5 linked regions of the Macaca fascicularis genome follow. The protein of the gene in region 1 interacts with the protein of each later gene in a pairwise test. Links are inferred from orthologs where the notes say so. Each region holds a gene or a part of one and is shown in the gene's direction. Other genes may lie near its edges.

Region 1 (4,705 bases):
GCACGCTAAGGGGGTGAGATGTTGGGGTTTCTGAGTGGCCTTGGGGGTTCAGGGGTTGGGAAGGAATTCTCCCACCCTCTTTGCTTGGCTTTAGGTGGTGGATTCTTATGCCACCAGGGGGCAGTGCCTCCACATGCACCTGGACCCTGTGCTCCTGTGCCCAAGAAGCCCCACCAGGGTCAGTTGATAACTAGACAGAAATCTGGCCTCCATAGCCTGAGGCCCTGTGGCAAGCCAGTGCCTACACTACTGTAGCTTTGCTGACTTCTGAGTGCTCCTCACAATCCAGCCACCCTGTAGGGAGGCTTGTCCATGGTGGAGACTGACACCAAAAGAAGGGAGAAACTTGCTCGAGGTAAAATCTTGAGGTCATAGTGAGATAAGATTGTCAGATAGAATACAGGATATGCAGCTAAATTTCAATGTTAGATCAACCCATGAATCCTTTTTTTAGTGTAAATATGTCCCAAAGGTTAGTGTACAAGAGAGAATACTTACACTACAAATGTAGTATAAGTACAGATGTGTTGTTTATCTGAAATTTAAATGTACTTCGTATCTGTATTTTCATTTGCTCAATCTGGCAACCTTGGCTGGGCTTCCCAGGCTCCTGAATCCCACTAAGCTGAGCACACTCAGTAGTTTCTCTGCTCCCAAGGTGGCCCTCCAGAAAGCTCAAATTTCATCGCAGCTGCTCCACTAGATCTGGGAAGGGCTTCTTTGGGGCCCCCAGGAATGCAGGCAGGGCCTATATCAGCTCTGCTTCCCAAGAGCTCGGCCCCAGCGCTGGACAGGTGAGGTGGGGGCAGGGGACAGGCAGCCTCAGACCATGCTGCCCTATCTCAGCTAGTTCTGACCCCTTCCTTTGCACTCCCTCTCCTTCCTTCCTTCCTTCCTTCCTTCCTTCCTTCCTTCCTTCCTTCCTTCCTTCCTTCCTTCCTTCCTCTTTTCCTCCTTCCTTCTTTCCTTCCTTCCTTCCTCCCTTCCTCTTTTCCTTCCTTCCTTCCTTCCTTCCTTCCTTCCTTCCTTCCTTCCTTCCTTCCTTCCTCCCTTCCTCTTTTCCTCCTTCCTTCCTCCTCTTTATCCCACCTGACCCAAGGGCTCTGGGGGAAGAAGAGGCTATTTCTAAAAGGAACGTTTTATAAACCTGTCCTGATTCCTTTCACAAATAGCCTCCTATTCCCCCAGGGGCTCTGGGGTTGTTTCCTAGAATGAAGGGTTCACCACAGGTCGTGTAGCAATCAGTGTTTTCCAGAGAAACATAACTGATAGGATGTATATATGTATGTATGTATATATGTATATATCTGCATATGCACAAGTATATATACATTTATTTTAATAAATTGACTTATGCAATTGTGGGGCTGACAAGTCTGAAATGTGCAGGGCAGCCTGGCAGGCTGGCAACTCAAAGAAGAGTTGACACTGCAGTCCTGGGGTAGAATTACCTCTACTTTGGGAAACCTCAGTCTTTGCTCTTCAGGCCTCTCAGTTGATTGTGTGAGACCAACCCACATCATCGAGGATGTGTCTCTACTTTACTTCAAGTCCACTGGTTGTAGATGCCAACCACAGCTACAAAATGCCTCCACAGCAACACCTAGACTAGTGTTTGAAGGAGTCACTGGGGACTAGAACCTGGCCAGGTGACACATAAACCTGACCATCACAGTGGTCTAATCAGTAGGGAAACTGAGGGAGAATTGGGACTTAGAAGGTGCAAGGCCTGAGGCCCCTGGGAGTTCTAGTGGCTGCAGTCAGGTCCCACCTCTCTTACCCTTCTCTCCCTTTGTTCTCATGGCTCCTGCCTAGTCTGACCTACTTCAGAAAAAGGCTACCTCCCATGTCTGGGGACTCTGGATGGGGGAGGTAGGATATGCTCTCCAGAGAATCTCTTCTGAAGGTGTGGTATGGCCTGGATTGCTAGGACCTAACTCTGCTGTAGCCACTGCCTGGCTCTTGGACCCTGTGCCAATCCCTGTTTCTTCATAGAAATGATGGAGGGTAGACCCTACCCTTCCCCCCATGGGCTAAATATGGAGATTCATGAGCCAGAGCAGTTCTCACAGTCAAAGGCATGGAATTGTATCTCTTCTCCTAAGTTGCTTACAGAGTAGCAAGGAGAAGGCCACGGACCTAGCCAACAAGATACAATAGAAACAGAAAGTGCTGAGTCCAAGGCCTCAGCCTAGAGAGGGAGTCTTGCTCCACCCCCAGGTCTGACTATATCTTCCTTGAGCTCCTGTTCCAGGAAGAGGTGATTTTCTGAGTGTGACTCCTCTGTTCCTGGCACCCTGTACATCCTTAGCCATAGCTTACAAGTGAACAGCTGGTTGTGATGGCAGGAGGCCCTCCCAACACCAAGGCAGAGATGGAAATGTCCCTGACAGAAGAATTGAATCATGGACGCCAAGGGCAAAACCAAGAGCACCTGGTGATAGCGGGTGAGGATCCCCTAAAATACCCCTAGGCTACAGCCAACTGTGTAGATACATGTCTGTACCTGTGCATGTGTGTGTTGGGAAAGGTGCATGTGTGCATGGAAGTGTTTGCACATCTGTGTGTTGGGCGGGCTTTGAGGATTTGTGGGTTGATGGTAAGGGATCTAGGAGAAAAGGGATAGATGATGTGAGCATTTTGCCCTGGGAGGGAGGAGGATGGGAACAACATGTGTGGTCCCTCTGTCTTCCCCTTGTCCAAGCCACCACAGTGTCTGTTGCAAAATACTCAGAGGGCTCAAATTATGAGACCAGAGATCAATTCTCTCTCCCAACCCTCGAATTCATTTTCCTGCCATTTGGAGGAAAATCCAGACTCCATGATCTATAAGATTGTATCAGCCTCCTCAAAACATTTCATACTATGATATAGACAGAAAATACCATTTCTATAGCACACAAAGGGATCCAGATCACATTGCATTTATGTTTGTTCTTACAATGCTCCAAGCCTGCTTCTTCCCCAAAGACCTTGCATTTGCTGTTTCCTCTGTCTGGAATGCTCTTTCCCTCAATTTCCCAGGGCTGGGTCCTTTATTTTTTTCAGGTCCCTGCCTCAATTGTTGTCTCCTACTTTTCTAGAAGGAGCCCTTTCCTTCCACTATGTTACCCTGTTTTGATCATTTATGGAGCCTGCATCTCTCTGTCTGCATTTGCAAGGATAGACCTTCTGTTTTACACCTGTCATTCACTCTTATACACAAAACAGATGGTCAGTTCCTTGATAGCTGGAATCTTGTTCTTGGTCATTGCTCTCTAGATTACTGGAGAGTAACCTAGTCTCGAGCTGAGCCCTCAGGATTCTTGTTTAACTTTTGAACAGATGAACAAACTGAGACCTGGGATCAGCTGGTGGACAGTGGTTAATGGGTGCTGAGTGATTCCCAAGAAAGCTGGGGACTCTGTCTTCTTTTTGGTGTGTTTTGTGCCCAAGAAGCCCTGGTACAACTTCTATGGGTGCTCCTGGGGTCTCTGTTCTTCTCTCTAGAAATGATGGAGCATGGATCTCGGTCCCTGGGTGCCTCCCAGAAGAGGCAGAAGTTGGAACAAAAAGCTGCTGGCTCTGCTTCAGCGAAACGAGTTTGGAATATGACTGCCACCCGATCCAAGAAAATGGTACTGCATGGGGTCCTCAGCACATGTTGGCCAGGTTGGGGTTGGGAGTACTGGTTGTAGGGGCTGTAGCCTGACCAGGTCAGGCAGGGCTAGACATTGACTTGTGAGGAGGAGGAAGCTCCTGTATTCCAAGCTGGCAAATGAGGACAGAAAGGTCAGGGTCATCCTTTCCTATGCTTGGGATGCAACCTTGGGAGTTCAGAATGCCTGAAACAAATATTGCATGGGGAGTACATAAATATTTCACTCTGTAAATCCATTGTGTGAAATAACGCTTCCTGTATTTAAAATTGTGTGTGTGGTGCGTGTGTGTGTATACACACAATAACTCAGGTGAGGCTCCTACGCTTTCTGGCTGTTAAGAAATCCAGTCAAGTCGTCTGGCATGGTGGCTCATGCCTGTAATCTGAGCACTCTGGCAGGAAGAGGTGGACGGATCACTTGAGGCCAGGAGTTGGAGAACAGTCTGGCCAGCATGGTGAAACCTTGTCTCTACTAAAAATACAAAAATTAGCTGGGCATGGTGGCACATGCCTGTAATCACAGCTACTCAGGAGGCTGAGGCATGAGAATCGCTTGAACCTAGCAAGCAGAGGTTGCAGTGAGCTGAGATCATGCAACTGTACTCCAGTCTGGGCAACAGAGCAAGAGAAAGAAAGGAAGAGAGAGAGAGAGAGAGAGACAGAGAGACAGAGAGAGAGGGGGAGAGAGAGAGAGAGAGAGAGAGAGAAAAGAAGGAAGGAAGGAAAAGGAAAAGAAAGGAAAGAAAGAAAGAAAGAAAGAAAGAAAGAAAGAAAGAAAGAAAGAAAGAAAGAAAGAAAGAAAGAAAGAGAAAGAAAGAGAAAGAAAGAAAAAAGAAATCCAGGAAAGTGAATCTGACCATTTTGTAGCCAGTCCTTTTAAGCTACATTCGATATGGGTGAAGGAATGTTTTAGAATAAATAGTGGCTATACTGTTGCAAATGATATTGGGAAAACAGTCATTTTGGATGGGGAGGGAAGCCTGACTATTCTAGAGAATTAAGTGAGTCCCACAGTTCTGTAGCCAATCATTTTAGCTAGCTAAATTCACTGTGAGTAAGGGAAAG
Region 2 (4,726 bases), on another chromosome or scaffold:
GCTGGACTTCTTCTAGGCTGAATTTGGGGCAGATTTTTGCATTTGTTTTGCTCAAGTATTTATGGGGCCAACTAATATGTTTAGCAACGTTGTGTGTGGGAGCAGTAGAGGAACTGAGAAGTTTACAAACTGTAAGAGATCCCCCAAAGAGTCCACAGGTCTGAGGCAGCAGCACCTGGGAATCTCTGGGTTCCAGTTAGTCCTTCCTGACTGACTCGTTACAGCAGTGTCCAGACAAGGAGATGTCAGGTCCTGGGGCAGGGTTCCCGTCAGGTGGGATGGTTTAGCCCCGCATCTGCTTTCAAAGATCCCGAGATTGGCCGGGCGCGGTGGCTCAAGCCTGTAATCCCAGCACTTTGGGAGGCCGAGACGGGCGGATCACGAGGTCAGGAGATCGAGACCATCCTGGCTAACACGGTGAAACCCCGTCTCTACTAAAAATACAAGAAAATTAGCCGGGCGAGGTGGCGGGCGCCTGTAGTCCCAGCTACTCGGGAGGCTGAGGCAGGAGAATGGCGTGAACCCGGGGGGGCGGAGCTTGCAGTGAGCCGAGATCGGGCCACTGCACTCCAGCCTGGGGCACAGAGCAAGACTCCGTCTCAAAAAAAAAAAGATCCCGAGATTATGCCGTCGCAGCGGACAGGACAAGAGTGGGTGCGTGGCAGGGACTGAGTCTGAGGCCTGGAGGCCCTGTCTGAAACAGGGCTGTCGCTGTCGCAGGGCCCTCTCTCCTTCAAGCAGTTATCATACAGCTATTCCCCTTCCTTGCGTTCAGACCCTCTCCTCTAACAGCCTGCACCTGCAAGCAGGGACCTCCGTGGCAGCCGGGACAGCGTGTCTGTCTCGGCCTCCCCAAAGTACCCCGGAGCCTGAATTGGGCGGGGGATGGTGCGGGAGCAGCGCCTGACTCCGAGGAGGACCCGGGCGGCGTCTCCCGCCCCTCGGTGACCTTATGGGCCAAGGCTGTGAAGAGCAGGCGGGGCGACGCGGAGGGGCCGGGCGCTAGAGGCCCGCAAACAGCGCGGCGGTCCCCGGCAGGAGACGCGGCCTGGCGGGCCGGGACGGCGGCGCCGGGCGCCTACGCGCGGTGCTCTGGGAGTTGTAGGCACTTTCCTCTTCTCTCTCCTTCAGCTGGCTGGCTCTCGAAACCCAAGGACCTACCGGTGGGTGGGCGCCTGTGACTCCCAGGCTGCGAACACCGGGAACTCAGTTTCTTCAAAAATGTCTGAACCAGGACTGCTCCTGGGGGTCCTCGCGCCCTCGCAGAAGGACTACGGGACCCGGCGACCCCGGGGGCGGGGCTTCTGGCGCGCTGCCTTGTGGGCGCGGTAGTTCCGCCAGGCCCGGCTTCCGCCTGCCGAGCGTCCCGGGACAGCGGGCCGGACTACACTTCCCGTCGGCCCGCCTGCTCTCCCGATGCCGCCTTGGCGCGAGACGTTGGCAAGCGGAGTGTCTCCAAGATGGCCGCTTGGGGAAGGAGGCGTCTTGGCCCGGGCAGCAGTGGCGGCAGCGCCCGAGAGAGGTGAGATCCAAGGGCTTGTTGCCCACGGTGCAGGCGGCTCAGGGGCCGGAGAGCCCAGCGCGGCCTCCGGGGGCTGCAGCAGCCTTCCTGCCCTGGTATCCCCGGGCTCCCCCGACCCCCGCCTGGCATACGGGGTTCCAGTTCCGGAGGATCCGGGATCCGGGTAGGAGCGAGGTCGAAGGCTTCGGCGGAGAGCTTAGGGGAAGGGGCGTTAGCCGGGCTGGGTAAGGTGGGCAGCGGTCATGCGGGGTGGGGCTCGAGGCCGGGCCGTGCGGAGAGGAACTGGCGCCCAGCGCAGGCCTCAGGGACCCGCTTAGCCGCGGGCTGATCGGCACCCTTCCCGCTTGGCCGCGCGCGTGGCCATCTCGGCCGCGGCGCCCGACGTGGCGAGGAAGGCAGGGCCCCTGGAGAGAGAAAGAAGGTGAAGCCTTCACAGAGCAGGCTGGCCGCGGCAGGGGTAGTTTGATCTGCACGTTTACCAGGGAGCTTTAGCTCCCACCACATGTGTCTCTTCCGGGCCCAGAGCCGTCCACTTCCTCGAGGGGCGATTCTGGAGACTTTTGGATGGTTCTGTGCAAGCGCTCCTGCCGTGGAAGTCAATTAAAGTGACCTTTCCTAATGAATGGTGTGTGGGTAGGGAGCTAGGAGCGTGTTTCTTCCAACAGAGACCTCCATTTGAGTAACTGATTTCTAGAAGATGAGATTGGAGTAGTTTCCGTGTTACATGTTCAAGTTGCAGTTTTTGCTTCTGGGAAGCAGTTTCAGCTAGTGGAAGCCACTAGAAGCTGTTCAGCCGCTAGAAGTTTTGGGAGAGGATGTATATTGGTGGAGCCACCTGGATGAACTATCCGCTAAAGCTTGATTGTTAACAGCAGCGGTCAGCAAAAAAGGAAAGTTTTGGTTTTGCTGTTGTTGTTTTTTTCCCCGTCTCTTTGGTGAAGATTGTCTAACCAGAAAATTTCTCTGCCTGTCAACTACTCTGCATTATTCCTTTTCTATGACTGATTCCATCCCGTGTTCATTGCTATTGCTTGCAGATGGCTTTCCCAGCTGGGAAGATTCTTCCTGTTTGGCAGTTGTGATAGAGTCCGTTAGCTTGCTTGCACTTTATTCTTGAGCCCAGTTATCCAACGTCGCCCATTCTGCATTTCCTCTTCCTTGGAAAAGCAGTGGTAAACACACTTTTGTTTTTTTAACTCCCGCCTGGTATTTCTTAGATTGGACCATTTAAATAAGTTACCTCAGTGGTTTTCAGATGCCCTTAAAAACTAGCAAACATTTTCAAGATATTCAATGCAAACAGTAATAGGAAATAACCTGTTTAGAAAACAAAGTTTTAGAAACGTTCGCCCTCTTGTTGGACTAAAAGCAACTGAAAAGAGCCTTATAGGGATGCCTCAGGCAGGGAGCAGGAGCCTTGCCAGCACAGGTTAAGCTTTTATTGATCTAAGAAAATAGATCCTGAGAATTGTTTTTGCTTTGGCTTGAGACAAGTATTTATTCAAAATGGAGTTGGCAAATCAGCAGTGCATCAGCTGGAGCCAGTGCTTGACTGTTGAACCTCAACAGTTTTTAAGAGAATTTAAATTAGTTGCCAACAGATTTCACATAAAACGCTCCCTGAAAAGCTGGGTAGTGGCTGACTCTTTTTGGTTAGGACAGTGCTCTCCAGTTCTTGGTTCCTCACCTGACAGCTTGACTCAATCACCTGACAGCTTGACTCAATGCATTTACCTGCTTGGTCTCAGGTTGCACCTTTGGCCTGGAACTGAAGGCTCCACTCATACACGCAGATGTTGTGTGTCAGCAGGAATGTGGCATTTGGTTTTGTGGTTTGGATGTCACCATCAACTCTCCTAGATAATGTGGTGTGGGTGGAGACTACCTCTCTGTTTGCTTTTGCTGTAAACCCCTAGCCAGGTTCTGTAGGAAAAGTCATTTGCCCGAGCCCAGCTTCCCTAAGCTCTTTCCATGCTGAGCAGGGGATGGAAACATAACCCGCTGTGTGGCTAGCGAGCTGACTTCTGGGCATCCCTCCATTCCTGCTCAGTTGGTGATGACTGTTCAGGTGGGGCAGGGCGGATTAGCTGATGGCCCAGCACCCTAGATTAGGAGATCTGAGTGTATTATTGGCTCTTATGACTGAAGTAGGCTGTTTATGGCTCTCTTAAATGACTTTGTTCCATGTCACATTTGTGCTGACTCAAATCTCAGCTCCATATTGTACGAGTGCTCTCTCCCGTTGCTGCTCACACCTGGTTAGCATCCGCTTTTGCTGAAGCTGAGGGAAACAGTGTCTGGTTTGGACAAGGGGCTAGAACAGAGCGACGCTTTGGGCAAACTTGCCAGATTTGCCAGCGGCTACCAACTCTGAAGCACGCACTGTACTTAAAGGCCTCACCCAGTGCCAGATTGCCCACAGTATTACTGCCAGCGCTGTGTGTTGGATGGTCCAGCTTAGCGCGTGGTAGCATGTGGGTTCTTGCTTTACCTTGTTGAGTCTAGAACCACAGCTCTAGAATTAGTGCTGAATTAACACAGCAGTTCAGTAGTCACCAGCCACATGTGGCGATTACATTTAAATTCATTAAAATGAAATAAAATGAAGAATTCAGCTCCTCAGTCTCACTAGCCACATTTCAAAGGCTCAATAGCCACTTCTGGCTCGTGGCTACCATATTGGATAGCACAGGTGGAGGACATTTCCATCACTGCAGAAAGTTACGATATGGACAGTGCTGGTTTCGACTAAATTAGGAGGGGTGGAAATAGCAAAATGGTAGTGCTTGCATGTTGATTTTTCTCTCCACTCCATTAAATCTAGGGAACCAACAGTGTTTGTAATGAAGAACATCAGACTCTGAGCTGTAACCTGAATTCTTGTCCAAAATTCAGCACACTGGCAACGAGCACATCAAACAGATTGCCACTTGTCCTGTCGGCGTCTTTGAGACACACTTGCCCATCTAGGAAAGCACAGTGCAGGTATCTGTGTTCTGCCACCGTGTGCCAGCCCGGACCAGCTCACAGACAGCCCCGCCTGTCTTACTTGGGTTGCTTGACTTCACTCTCTCAGGGCCCCTGAACCTCCCTGAGCCCTCCGTGATTGTTGGAATGTGAGTATAGCTGTGTGCTCTGAGTTCCTGTTTTTATAATCATGTGAAGATGTACTTGATCTGCTTCTGAGCATGATACGAGGCAACC
Region 3 (4,663 bases), on another chromosome or scaffold:
TTAGTTTTTCTTTTCTTTCTCTCTCTCTTTCCTTTCTTTCTCTCTCCCTTTCCTTTCTCTCTCTCTCTTTTTTTTTTTTTTTTAAAGAGATGGGGTCTTGCCATGTTGCCCTGAGGTCTAGCCATCTACCCGACTCGGCCTCTCAAAGTGCTGGGATTAGAGGCACGCCCAGCTGAGAGAGACTATGATGTTCTCCAAACAAATCTCATTTGGTTGAAACTGTACAGCTGAGTATAGTCTAATTTGAGTAGTTTACCTTGAGTACTCTAACCATGGTCTATAGACCTGGCTCTTTTGAGAACTGTTTGTAAATTGTCTGCAGAGAGACAGTAGAAAACTCTATGGCAATTTTGCAGGTAATTTTATGGCTGTTAACTCTAACGATAAAAAGTTTTGACTTGGACTTTGTATGCCTTTTCATTTTTCTGTTTTATCAACTTGTGGTCAACAACTAATCGAAAATTTTTACAAAATAAACGGACCGTTCCCCCAGTGAAGAGAAGCACTGCTATGAAGCTGTTCACACGCAAATATTACCAAACTCCAAGGTCACTTTTGAGGCCTAGCTCCCCAAAATGAGGCCTCGGATATTTTTCCTCCCTTTATTTCTTTTCTCTTTTCATTTTTTCCCCCTTTTTCCTTTTTTTGAGACGGAGTTTTTGCTCTGTTGTCCAAGCTGGAGTGCAATGGCACGATATCGGCTCACTGCAAACTCCGCCTCCGTCTCTTCAGTAGTTGGGATTACAGATGCGCGCCACCACGCCCAGCTAGTTTTTGTACGTTTGGTAGAGACGAGGGATCACCAAGTAGGCCAGGCTGGTCTCGAACTCTTGACCTCCGGTAATCCACGCGCCTCGCCCTCCCGAAGTGCTGGGATTACAGGCATAAGCCACCGCGCCCGGCCTCCTCCCCTTATTTCATCCACTTCACAATTCACATTATTATTGAACGTTGATAATTGCACCTATCGTAATGATACTGATAATTGCACCTGTTGTAATAATATTGATATTGATAATTGCACCTATTGCATTACAATATTATTATTGATATCCATAATTTCACCTACTGTAATGATCAATAAAGACAGGCAGAAAGAAAACAAAAATAACTGAGACTACTGGACAGCGTCCCTGCGGACAGCAAAGACTGAAGAAACGCCTTGAGGCGCAGTAACGCCACCAATAAGGAGTCGCCGCGACGGTTCCGCCCAGAGGCAAGGAAGGCCCACCCCTGGCGGGCAAGCGAGAGCGCTAGCTCGTGGCGTCTGAGCGGGTGGGGATATGCCGTGTGGGTTTCAAGAAGACGCCACGCCTCCGCCGCCACCACGCCTCCGGCTGCCGCTCCCGGAGGAGGCCGGGATGTTATCACTTCCGCCGGGGCCTCTCACTGCGTCCGGGTCAGCTGTTGCCGCCGCCGCCGTGCCGCTGCGGCCGAGGGATTGGGCTGGGGTCTCCACCGCCGAGCGAGGGGAGCGGGCTCCGCTCGGCGCTGCTTTTTACGACCTGGCCGTCAGCCCCACGTCGCCGGCCTGGAGGGGCGAAGAGGACGAGGGGGCCAAGGCTTCCTCCGGGGTGAGTGCGGCCTGGGAGGACTTGGCACCGTGGCTCCGTAGCTGGACTGGGAACCGGCCTAGGGGCGCAAGTCTGTCGGGCGCGTGCCCACGACGTCCGCGGAGAGGAAACCCAGAGAGTTATCCTTGGTAGGGGGGAGCCATAGAACCTGCTCGGAAGGCGCTTCCTGGATCTCCGCCCAGTTTAGGTCCCCGCCCTTGGCTCGGGTCCTGTTTGTATTTGGCAGTTTGGCCCCCCACCCCACCCCTTTTCCGTTTCTGGTAGTTGTGCTCGGGATGGAACCTTGCCCTTCCTCCACTCCTTTTTTACCCTGGTGTGGGTGAAGTTGCGGGGCTACGATGGTTCAGTATTTATGACCAGCGTCCGTCCTGGTGCAGAACAAAGAAACTTGGACCTCTGGTATGCCTCGTAACCTCGGGGAATAGACACGGAAGCAGCATAAGTAATCAGGGCTTTAATAGATCTTCCCGAGTACGCTCAACCAAATACAGAGTGTGTACGTCAAAAGCCGAGTCCCCGCGTGAATCTAGACACTACCTTTTCTGTTTAAATACCTGGCAAAATGGTTTGGATTTCTGGATGCATCTCATGTCTCTGGAGTTACTTGTCTGTGTGTCCTGTGAGCTCTTTGAGGGCACAGCTTTTGCGGTGTTCGTCAAGATAGTCACAGTGCCTCCTATTTATTTAGTTGAATAAACTATGTGATTGCATTTTAGTGTTGCTTTTTTCATTCGCAGCTTCTCTTGATTAGGATCTCTATTTCACCTAACACCTGATTTCTTATTTTCAATTAAATGTAGTTTTTCTAATAGTTTATAGGAATCTCTGCAGTTGTAGAAACAAATTCCGTAATTTGTAAATCGCTGTTTCCTCAAAATTACAACTGATGTTACTCAGTTAAGTTACCCCTGCAGACTAGTTTTTCATCATTTTGCACATATTCTTAGTTCTTGTTGTTTTATATTTTTTCTAAACTCTTTTCCTAGTCTTCGTAATCTCTAGTGCAGCCCAACACTGTTGGGCTCAGACAGGAAGTATGACAGATCCACTTCTGCAAACGGAACTTGAACTAGATTATCGTAAGTCAGTGCTATTATGGCCTTCAGGCACTACAAGACCTTTGAAGCTAAGTGCAACCAAATCAGGCATGACAGGCTTATTCTGTATACAGTTGCCAGTGCACTGCTGACGGTGTGCTATATTAGAAACAGTTCTGGACTAGATATGGAGACCAAGATGTCGTGTCATTGCCTCATATATAAGATACAATGATGATAACACAAGTGTCATGCATCCCAAAGTTGCTGGTTGGAATATGAGATGATGGACGTGAAAGTGGTTAGTACATGTGGAAAGCACTCTGGAAAAGTTCTGTTCATTCTGTCTGGAGTAATGCTGGTAGAAGGAGCAATAGGGAGAAAGGCGTCAGAGAAAGTATATGTAACCAGATCTAGTAAGTTACAGGGCTGATAGTAGATAAAAGATGTCTTGTTACTTTGGGTGGCCAAGGTGGGCAGATCACCTGAGGTCAAGAGCAAAAAATGATAAAGCAATGAGATGAGACAAGCTTGGCCAATGTGATGAAACACCGTCTCTACTAAAAATACAAAAATTAGCCAGGCATGGTCGCATATGCCTGCAATCCCAGCTACTCGGGAGACAGAAGTACAAGAATCGCTTGAACCCAGGAGACGGAGGCCGCAGTGAGCCGAGATTGCAGCACTGCACTCCAGCCTGGGCAACAGAGTGTGACTTCGTCTCAAAAAAAAAAGATGTCATGTTATGTTTACATCTTATAAAGCAGAATACTAGTATAATGTGACAGTAATATTCCACAATTATAGTTTTTTATTGCAACTGATATTTCTAACTACAACAAACTGAGACATCAGTTAGTAGACTTTATCTTTTTAAAGGTCGCAGCGTTTTCAGTATGTTCTGCATAGTGATAATAAATGTAACTTTTGTAGGTGGCACAATCATCTTTTGCCATATTTTCACAATTTTGAGAGAAGTCAGCACCATTCTAGTTTTTCCTCTAAATTTTGTGTTAACGTTTATTTTATTTTATTTAGTTTTTTTGAGATGCGCTCTTGCTGTGTCGCCCAGGCTGGAATGCAATGGCACGATCCCCGCTCACTGCAACCTTTGCCTCCCAGGTTCAAGCGATTCTCCTGCCTCAGCCTCCCTGATCACTGGGATTACAGGCCAGTGCCACCACTCCCGGCTAATTTTTGTATTTTTAGTAGAGATGGGGTTTCACCATGTTGGCCAGGCTGGTCTTGAACTCCTGACGTCAGGTGATCCGTCCGCCTCAGGCTCCCAAAGTGTTGGGATTACAGGTGTGGGCCACCACGCCCGACTTGTGTTAACATTTCTGATAGAGCATCTCATTTCATTGTTTAAAAACTATATACCCTCAAGGGAGCAATGAGAAGCACAGATCTAGGATTTTTTCAAGGATGTTTGGTGATCTAAACGTACAGGCTGTTCGTTAAAAAGTGAACATGAGTGTTTAGGATGAAACCTTTTTGTTTAAATGGGGAAGTGAAAGGCTTGCCTGGGCATTTCCATATGCCTACTGTAATTGATTTCAGCATAAACGGTTGTTACTGGCACCTATTGCAGCAGCAGTGTTAAAGTATGTATAGTAAAATCACCACATATAATTGTGTTATAATTAAACAGTTCTAATGTGATCTTAAAAAAAACATTGTAGAGACAGATCTCACTATGTGGCCCAGCTAGGCTTGAACTTCTGGGCTTAAACCATCTTCCCACCTTGTCCTCCCAAGGTGTTAGGATTACAGGAATGAGCCACTGAGCCTGGCCTAAATGTGATCTTAACATTTAATTTTTGCTTATGTTGCTAAACTGCCTGGGAAAAGCTTCTTCATCTTGATTGGATTTATCAGTACTCCTCCCCCTTGAAGCGATGTCAGAAGGAATCAATTGTCTCTTTGATTTTTAACCTAAGATAAACAACTGCTTTGAATTTATCTTTATGACTGCAATAGGTGAGTGGCATAAGTAAGGATATACCACCACTACCAAGAGTCAACTTGAGAAATCAAGTTATTCCTGTGCCA
Region 4 (4,042 bases), on another chromosome or scaffold:
TAAAAAATCAAACTTATTGCAGCTGATATACAATAAACATCAAAAAATTGAAAACTCAACCAGAAGGCATTTCATTCTATTTTATTATAGTCATGAAGCAGTGCAAAAACATTTAAGGAACACTCTGAAGATGGAATAAATAACGTTTTAAGAAACAGAAATAAGAGGATTTACCAAGCAAACAGAATGAAATTTAGAGTTGAAAATGGCAAGATAGCTGCTTTTCAGTTTTATTTTATTTTTAATTGACAAACAATTGTACATATTTATGAGGTACAAAGTGATATTTTGATACACATATACATTGTGGAATGATCATATCAGAGTAATTAGCGTACCCATTATCTCGAATTTTTATCAGTTCTTTGTGGTGAGAACATTTAATAGAAAATAAATGTATTCTGTTGAAAGCTCAAGTTACTGGTTTCCAGCTGTTACAGCTGAAAGAAAGAGGGAGGAAGGCAGGGAGTAATGGGGAAAAGGAGGGAGGGAAAAGAAAATAGAAAAGGGGGCGCGGGATCATGCAGTATTCTTTCAGAGTTAAGAAACTTAATCTATAGGTTTATAAAATTTCATTGGAACCTACGGCAAAATCACAATGGCTGAAGCGTCAATCAGGCCCATACAAACATCTGTGTTTAGTTTAAATGACTAAGGGTGAAACGCATCAGCTTATGGAAAATGGGGAGGGCTCCCAGCATTTGGCCAGCGTTTTAGGTGATGGATGTTGATGAGCAATTCCTTTAAACAACTGATTTACTGCCAATGGACAAAATGCTGGAAGCACATCCAAAAATTCATCTGCAATTAAAATTACAAGCAAGTGGTCACTGTGTTCACTTCCTTTACCAGAGAGGTGACCCCTGCTCCCGGCAACCACCTCCACCCAAGGGCCACAGAAGAACTCCTCCTTCCTCTAACCCCCTTTCCTTGGCCTCACACCTCATGATAAAATCTGCCTTGCTCTGTCTCCCAATCGCTTTTGTAAAGGAAGTTGAGTGTAGAGCTCTTTTTTCTCCCTCCCTTCCTTTTTTCTTTCTTTCCTTCCTTCCTTCCTTCTTCCATGCCTTTCTGTCTTTCCAAATTCATTACTTTGTAAGAAACATTCTCAGATCACCTCCACTCCACCAGAAATCCAACGCAGGCGAGACGGAGTCAAGCACAGGCGGTGGGCGGGTGGCCTCAGCTGGCACCATCTGGCACCTGGGATTCATCGCCACTTTCCATCAGCCCAGAGGTCAGGGGGGCAGCCGGCAGAGGACACGCAGAGCTCGTGTGTCCCAGTTCCTCTGAAACTTTCAGCTGACCGCACCCTCCCCCGCCAAACTCTTTTAATCATCCATCAAGCTAGAAGAGTACGATGACCTCTGCCTGGCCTTTGGAGTTTGCAAAAGAAGAAAGCAATAAAAAGCAAGACCAGGTTCGCCCCTTTGCTTCCTCCACCGCCCAAGAGTAGCGCGCAGCGCGGCGGTGCGGCCGGAAGGGGCCGCTGTTTACTCAGTGCAGCCGCCCCGCCGCTGCAGCCGCCGCTGCCCGCACCTCCCACGGCCGGGCTGGTCCAGCCCCACCAAGTTCCAACAGCCCCCAGTCGAGCGAGCGCCGGGAACGAGCACCGCCCGGGCTGGAGCGGACGGCTTTAGAAGAGCCTAGCTGCTGCGCGCGTCGGAGAGGCTCCTGGGAAACTCCCACGGCCCAGGGACTTTCGAAAGCAGAGCTAGGAGCCCTTGCAAGCGCTAGTCTGCGAGTGAGCGCTCAGCTCGGCACCTGTTCCTCCAGCGCCGCCGCCTTCCCACCCCTCGGACCCGCGCCGCTCGCGGCGCCCGCCCGCTCCTGCGATGAATCCGGCCCTGGGCAACCAGACCGACGTGGCGGGCCTGTTCCTGGCTAACAGCAGCGAGGCGCTGGAGCGAGCCGTGCGCTGCTGCACCCAGGCGTCCGTGGTGACCGACGACGGCTTCGCGGAGGGAGGCCCGGACGAGCGCAGCCTGTACATAATGCGCGTGGTGCAGATCGCCGTTATGTGCGTGCTCTCACTCACCGTGGTCTTCGGCATCTTCTTCCTCGGCTGCAATCTGCTGATCAAGTCCGAGGGCATGATCAACTTCCTCGTGAAGGACCGGAGACCGTCTAAGGAGGTGGAGGCAGTGGTCGTGGGGCCCTACTGACCCGCCCCTCCGCCCCCGCGGCAACCGCTCCCACGCCTGCCCACTTTGCCAGCCCGGCTGTGCCCCTCACTGTCAGAGACTGGGCGAAGCAAACCTGTCGGAGTCAATTATTTCTCTCGACTTCGGCCTTCCGGAAAGAAGCGACCGGTTTCTCCCTCGCCCTCTGAAAGTCCTCATGCCTGGCAGTCGGAGGAGAGCGCCCGGACTTCTGGACTCAGCAGAAAGTGGCAAGAAGAAGGCGATTAGGGCGCAGAACTTTGGAAGCTGCTACTTACTTGGAATGCGGGGAGAACGACGGGGCGAAGGCCCTTCTCCACCCGCAGGTGGGCCAAGCTCTGGGGGCAAGTGGAGAGGGAGGGCAGGGGAGAGACCCAGCGGCACTGATCGCCTTGTGACCGGAAAAGTGACCTGTTAAAAGCCACGCAGCAGACATCATGGGGTCTCACAAATCCGTGTCCGGGTGTGCTCCCACTCTTCTCCTGCTCCCCACCAGCCCTGGAGGGGAGAGGCGATAAATACCTTTGATTGTAACGTGCTGTTTTAAGAGGTTTTGTGTTTGTTTGCTTGAATACAAATATTTGATAAGTCTTTTTCTGCCCCAGTGGCCTGTTTGCCTGCCTGAGGGGTTAAAGTTTTGTCGTTGTGGGAGAAGGGGTGGGGGGAGGGGAGCCTGCGACTTTGAGGGGGGTGAGTTGTTTCTTTTAGTGCATTTCCCACTGGGTCTTTTGGGAGGTGTCTAGCGTTCCTGCTGGCCCTGATACAAAGACCCAGAATAGAACTCGTAGCTCGTGACTGCACGGTTTACGCCACAAAAGTGCTCTTGACATCCGTGACACCGTTTTGACTTTTTGTTTTTTTTTCTTATTTAACATTTCCTTAATAAATGCAACATTTAAGCGTTTTGTTCCTGGCCTCCTGGTGGTCATTCTGCGCTCCCCAGCAGTGGGGGAACGGGGCGGCGGTGCAGAGTCTGGCTCCCGGCCAGGGAAATTCACCCTAGAGAGCTGCGATTCAACTTGTGGATCCCATGGAGGGGCGAGGGTGGGGCCAGACGGAGAGGCCCTGGGATGACTGAGACAGAGCCCAGCCTCAGGCACAGTAGCCGTCCTGGAGGTAGCATCCTTTGTTTCCTCTTATCGTGAATATTTTATATTTCATTTAGTCTCAGCTCTCAGATAAGCGAGACTACAGGAGGGCCCCCGCGGGAAGATTACACTTCCGTGCCAGGCTCCGGCGGGAACACAGGATTACACCGCTAATGAAAGGAAGAGAAGGCTTGGACAGCCTTTACGGAGAGCGTCTCTACCCTAACCAACGTCAGCGAGGCGGCTTTGGGATGCTGCCCACGGGCGGGGCCGGGGGAAGGGGAATTATAAAATGCAAGGAAAAGTAGCTGCTAAGGTACACAGTGACGTTAATGCTCCCTGGGGTAAACCATTGTTACTAAAACATGAGATGCATTACTGTCGTTGCTATATTACTTTTTCTGGCAAAAAAAGACCAGGTTAAAATAAAGGTTCAGCCTGTTCTTTGTAATTTAGACTGCCCCAGACCAGGCAAAGGGTTGAGAGGAGTTAGCCGAGGTCCTGAATGTGGGAGATGAGTATTACAACCCCAACTGGGAAGGATATTTGGAGTAGAGCTACAGATGGTCGTTGACATATTTAAGGCTCAGAAATTCAACAGCGTTAGAAAGAAATGCCTAAAAACCGTGCCTCTGAAAATAACCCAAAGGATACAATAGCTTCGAGCATAAACTTGACAAAAGGTTTTGAGCAGTTTATTTTTATGCCTGGGACGGGATCCTAAATATTTTCAAGACTATAAAGAATCCACTAAGATGCTATAGAGCAATTAAAATTTCAAAAACTTCACAA
Region 5 (4,721 bases), on another chromosome or scaffold:
CTCCAGAACAGAGAATTTGCCTTTCCTCTGCCTTTCTGTTCTATCTATTAGATGGTGCCTGCCCATATTGGATGAGGACAGATCTTTCTTACTCAGTGCATTGATTCAAATGCCAATATCTCCTGGGAACACCCTCATAGACATACCCAGAAATAATGTTCCCCCAGGAATCTGAGTATCCTTTAACCTAGTCAGGTTGACATCTAAAATGAATCATTGCAAAATCCTAACCAAGTCTCAAAGGTGCCTCAAATTCAACTTGTCTAAGATGGAGCTCAAGATCCATTTTATCTCCTCTTCCAGTGTTCTCCATATCTGTGAATCCCTCCACCATCCATCCATTTATCCATGGCTGAACAGTGGCCTCATCCTTGAAGCTACTTCATCGCCCCTTCACATCCAACTCATCACCAAGTCCTATTGATTTTGCTCCTGTATTTCTCTGCAGCCTGCTTAGATCTCTTTTTCTTTAGTCTCACACCAGTCCACATTCCAGCTCCATTCTCTCTTGCTCAGATGACTGCACTGGCTCCCAGGCAAGTCCCACCATAGCTTTATTGAGATTTCTCCATTTTGATCTGCACTTTAGCAGCCAAAGTGAGTTTTATAAAATGCAATTTTGATCAGTGTTCCATGGTCCTAAACTTTCCACTATGGCCCATAAAATCCTACATGGTCTGGCCCCTTCCTTCTATTTGCTCTAGTTGATCTCACTCTACTCCTTTACTCTCTAAACTCCGAGTTTCTTTTCTTTTTTGGTAAAATGTACATAACCATTTTTAAGTGTGCAGATCTGTGGCATTTGGTACATTCACATTGTTGTGCGATCATCCCTACTAACCATTTCCAGAACTGTTTCATCTTCTCCAGCTGAAATTCTGTATCTATTAAGCACTAACTTTCCATTACCCCCTGTCTGGGTTTCTTTCCATCCCTCAAAGGAGCTCTGCTGCCTTCCACAGAGTCCTTATATACATGCTGATCTCTCCATCTGAAACACACTTCCTCTCCCCTTTGCCTAGTTAGCCTCCTGTGATTCCCAACACCAGCCTAGAAGCTTCTGTAAATTCTCTCAAAACCCCTGCTCCTCTCTGAAGAACAATTTGTATTTATACAGGTGTTTGATTGTTTGAAGGGTGCTCTCACCCTGCCCTCCTCTCTTAATATAGTTTTTCCTGTCAGGAATTCCTCGCTTTGTCCACAAGCCCTGGCACACAGCAGGTGCTCAATACTTGCTAAATGAATAAATGGACGGACTCTGCTACCTAATCTCCTTCCAGCCCGTCATCCACTTGTGGGTGCCTCCGCCCCCAGCTTGGGGTGTGTCCCCCTGGGTCGGACTTTGGCGCCCTATCCAGGCTGGCAGCAGGTTGTGCTCTTTGGTTTGCCTATCTCGGGCCTCCCGCCCAGCCGCGCGGACCGCAGAACACACGCCCCGGGCGTATCACACTGTCACGCGGAGCCTCCCCGCCTCCAGACGTCGGTCCGGTTGCTACCCCGGCAGGAATCGAGCTTATACCACGAAGGCTCCTTCTTATCTCCGGACGTGAGAATTACAGGCTTGGACCTCAAACTGCCGCGGTGAGAGCCGAGAGGTGGGAAGAAAGTTGCGAGGCGCGCGCCCCGGTCACGCTCCCTCTCAGTTTGGGTCGCAGCCCTTTAACAACCACTACTTTCGCGCCTTCGCCGGGACTGGGGCTGTGGAGGCGCGCCGGGATTGGTCGGTTTGGGTGCGGGTGTCGCTTAGCAGCAGCGAATGGGGGCTCAAGGCTCGCGCACGCGCACCACCGCCTACCTGCGCCTGGGCCGCCGGTGACCTGGGCCGGGGCAGCCCGGTCGGCTAAGGTTGCTGAGGAGGCGGCGGGTAGCTGGCGGGCGCCGACTTCCGAAGGCCGCCGTCGGGGCGAGGTGAGGGCTGACGGGCGGAGGCGGGTGCCGCGGCCCGTTAGCCGAGAGCAGGCGGGTTAGGGTGTGGCGCAGGGCGGGCCCAGAGGTGGAGGCGGCCCAGGGCCAGCCCCGCCCTCAGGCCCGGCCTTGACCATGGGGCTCCCCACGGGGCTTCACTGGGCTTCTTGGAGTCCTCTGTCCCCTTTCTCCCGCCAGCCTCTCCCTGGACCCCGGGGCCACCCAAGACACGCGCCTGCGGGAACCCTGGGCTGACAGATGGGCGCCGAGGGCTTCTCCCAGTTGGAAGAGATGGGGAGTGAGAAAGGGACGACTATTTCTTTAACCATTCACGAATCTCACGTCAGAGCATTGTTTAATCTGAATAGCAAACTTCCCTTAGCATGCCAGTGTTATAAGACTTTAAATATTGGATACACTGAACCAACTTTTCAGAGCACTGGGTGTAGGACGTTCCATTACAGGTTTTGTGTTCATTACAGATTTACACATGTACCTCCAGAGCCAGAAGGATAAAGTGCTTGGGGAAAAATTAGGTTTGTAGAAATCAAAGCCACGAAAGACTTGCCAGTGTGGAAAGTAATTGGTGAAATTTGTGACATGGTCAGAAAAGAATACAGCTCAGAACCAACATAGAGGATAATATTTAATTACATTTTGCAGAGGAGAGTTGATCCCGCTAAAGATAATTTTAGTAAAATGAAAAATGGAAGCAACTGGAAATGGTTTAACGTTGCTAGATAGAATTAAATAAACAAATAGAGTTTCTGGAAAGTACATTTTGGATAATGTTATTAATAGCTCTGATTTAAGTGTTTGCACTTGCAACAGAAGCCATCTTGGAGTCTCAGTGTTTTTTCATTCTTAGAATAACTTAGAAATCAACTATATTCAAAAAGTAACATGGTCAGAGAGAGGACAACCTGACTTCAAGGTAATACAGTGGATAAAGAGCAGTTGTAACAAGTGTAATCTCAGGCTCCTTCGTCTACCAACAGGTCTCTGATTAGCTTATTAGTGCTCTAAGGAGAAGAAATTATTTTAGAGAAAGGGAGTAGCTGTAATCCCCAAGGTTGGATTTATAGAAGAAGGATGTGGTGGAAAGATCGTCAGCTTTAGAACATTTGAAGTAAGGAAGTGTGGGTTGAATCTGGCTCTACCTCTTGAGCCTTAGAGCTGTAGTTTTCCCACCTAGCCAGTGTAGATTATGTCTACCTTATAGTTACAAGCATTTAATAACATTATCAGTGTAAAAGGTCCTATCAAGTTTAGTTCCCTATCCTTCTCAGTTCCTAACAAATGACAAAACTGACCTCTACCCTCCTGTTCACTCCATCCCCAAGCAACTTGGAGCCTTAATAGAATCTACAAATTTGGTAACCAGTTCTCAAGTCCTGTGGTTGAAGGTGAATTCAGTAAGGGTGACACAACTCAGTTTTGTCTTCTGTATTGTGTATTTGAGTCTTCTGTATTCTGTATATACTTTATGGTGAACACTTTGTGTTTGAATATTTGTGTGCCAAATGAACCCTGTTTTGTCTAAATTCCTGTTTTGCAAGGTGCAGTCATCTCTCTCTTTCTCTCTTTCTTTCTGTTTCTCTCTCTCAGCCTCTCCCTCTCTCAGTGCATGTGGTAGGGGCTTGAGGAGGGGTTAAGGGTAAAAGGTGGAAGAAAAAACAGAAACAAGGGTAGCCTGCAGCATAGGCACAAAGTCTTTGTTGATAGACCAGAGATAATCTATGGCATGAGCAGTTTACAAACAGATGCTCGGAAGAGGATTTAGGAAATAAGGGAGGCAAATTAAAATATATTTTTATAAAACTAGTAACACGGATGCTGTGTATGTGATTACTACTTCACTCTACTTTTAGACAAATGTCATCTGTATAAACCTTTCTCTTTTTCTCTCCAAGTACAGATTTATTGTGGAAAAGTGTTCGAGCTGTAGATCAGAATTATGGCAAGGGATCTGTAAACCTGCATTTCTTGTTTCAGTGAGCAAAAATAAGGTAGCCCTTAGGTCATTCATTCATTTACTTAGCAGTGTTTACTGAGTGCTTCCTAATATGTCCCAGGCAAGGTGGTAGGTTATGACATCCACTGCCTTGTGGAAGGATCTGCTAAGATCTGGAAGACATTCCAGTGTCTCTTTGTGTGAACATTCTGAAGCTTCCTTTGTCCTTGTGGAGTTGATTTTCTTTTCTTTTCTTTTCTTTTTTTTTTTTTTTTTTTTTTTTGAGACAGGGTCTCACTTTGTTGCCTAGGCTGGAGTGCAGTGATGTAGTCACAGCTCACACAGCCTTGACCTCTTGAGCTCAAGACTCTCACCTCAGATTCCCGAGTAGCTGGGACCACAGGTGTGTGCCACCATGCCTGGCTTTTTTTTTTTTTTTTTTTAATTTTTTGTAGAGATGGGGTATCATTGTGTTGCCCAGGCTGGTCTCAAATTCTTGGGCTCAAGCAGTCCTCCCACCTTGGCCTCCCAAAGTGCTGGGATAACAGGTATGAGCCACCATGCTCAGCCTGCTTTCCTAGTTTTTTTTTTTTTTTTTTTTTTTTTTTGAGACGGAGTCTCGCTGTGTCACCCAGGCTGGAGTGCAGTGGCTCTACCTCCGCTCGCTGCAACTTCTGCCTCCCGGGTTCACACCATTCTCCTGCCTCAGCCTCCCGAGTTGCTGGGACTACAGGCGCCTGCTACCATGCCCGGCTAATTTTTTTGTACTTTTAGTAGAGATGGGGTTTCACCGTGTTAGCCAGGATGGTCTTGATATCCTGAACTCGTGATCTGCCCGACTCGGCCTCCCAAAGTGCTGGGA

What was found.
Region 2: the proteins of FATE1 (region 1) and TMEM11 interact in binary tests that used the Homo sapiens proteins (3 or more experiments, as listed by UniProt). The two-hybrid records come from large-scale screens. The link is inferred for Macaca fascicularis from reciprocal best matches to the Homo sapiens genes FATE1 and TMEM11.
Region 3: the proteins of FATE1 (region 1) and BNIP2 interact in binary tests that used the Homo sapiens proteins (3 or more experiments, as listed by UniProt). The two-hybrid records come from large-scale screens. The link is inferred for Macaca fascicularis from reciprocal best matches to the Homo sapiens genes FATE1 and BNIP2.
Region 4: the proteins of FATE1 (region 1) and RPRM interact in binary tests that used the Homo sapiens proteins (3 or more experiments, as listed by UniProt). The two-hybrid records come from large-scale screens. The link is inferred for Macaca fascicularis from reciprocal best matches to the Homo sapiens genes FATE1 and RPRM.
Region 5: the proteins of FATE1 (region 1) and SEC22C interact in binary tests that used the Homo sapiens proteins (3 or more experiments, as listed by UniProt). The two-hybrid records come from large-scale screens. The link is inferred for Macaca fascicularis from reciprocal best matches to the Homo sapiens genes FATE1 and SEC22C.

The regions. Positions count from the first base shown.
Region 1 is NC_088395.1:157,778,781-157,783,485, forward strand, and holds the start of FATE1 (fetal and adult testis-expressed transcript protein), read left to right. Parts: upstream 1-1,371; 5' UTR 1,372-2,341; coding exon 2,342-2,447; intron 2,448-3,489; coding exon 3,490-3,617; intron 3,618-4,705. UniProt on the Homo sapiens protein: Involved in the regulation of endoplasmic reticulum (ER)-mitochondria coupling. Negatively regulates the ER-mitochondria distance and Ca(2+) transfer from ER to mitochondria possibly implicating it in the regulation of apoptosis.
Region 2 is NC_088390.1:20,636,598-20,641,323, reverse strand, and holds the start of TMEM11 (transmembrane protein 11, mitochondrial), read left to right. Parts: upstream 1-1,451; 5' UTR 1,452-1,460; coding exon 1,461-1,522; intron 1,523-4,346; exon of another isoform or gene 4,347-4,636; coding exon of another isoform or gene 4,637-4,638; intron 4,639-4,726. UniProt on the Homo sapiens protein: Plays a role in mitochondrial morphogenesis.
Region 3 is NC_088381.1:36,168,815-36,173,477, reverse strand, and holds the start of BNIP2 (BCL2/adenovirus E1B 19 kDa protein-interacting protein 2), read left to right. Parts: upstream 1-1,388; 5' UTR 1,389-1,574; intron 1,575-4,663.
Region 4 is NC_088386.1:48,950,732-48,954,773, reverse strand, and holds RPRM (protein reprimo), read left to right. Parts: upstream 1-1,586; 5' UTR 1,587-1,835; coding exon 1,836-2,165; 3' UTR 2,166-3,067; downstream 3,068-4,042. UniProt on the Homo sapiens protein: May be involved in the regulation of p53-dependent G2 arrest of the cell cycle. Seems to induce cell cycle arrest by inhibiting CDK1 activity and nuclear translocation of the CDC2 cyclin B1 complex.
Region 5 is NC_088376.1:105,428,400-105,433,120, reverse strand, and holds the start of SEC22C (vesicle-trafficking protein SEC22c), read left to right. Parts: upstream 1-1,446; 5' UTR 1,447-1,581; intron 1,582-1,775; exon of another isoform or gene 1,776-1,908; intron 1,909-4,721. UniProt on the Homo sapiens protein: May be involved in vesicle transport between the ER and the Golgi complex.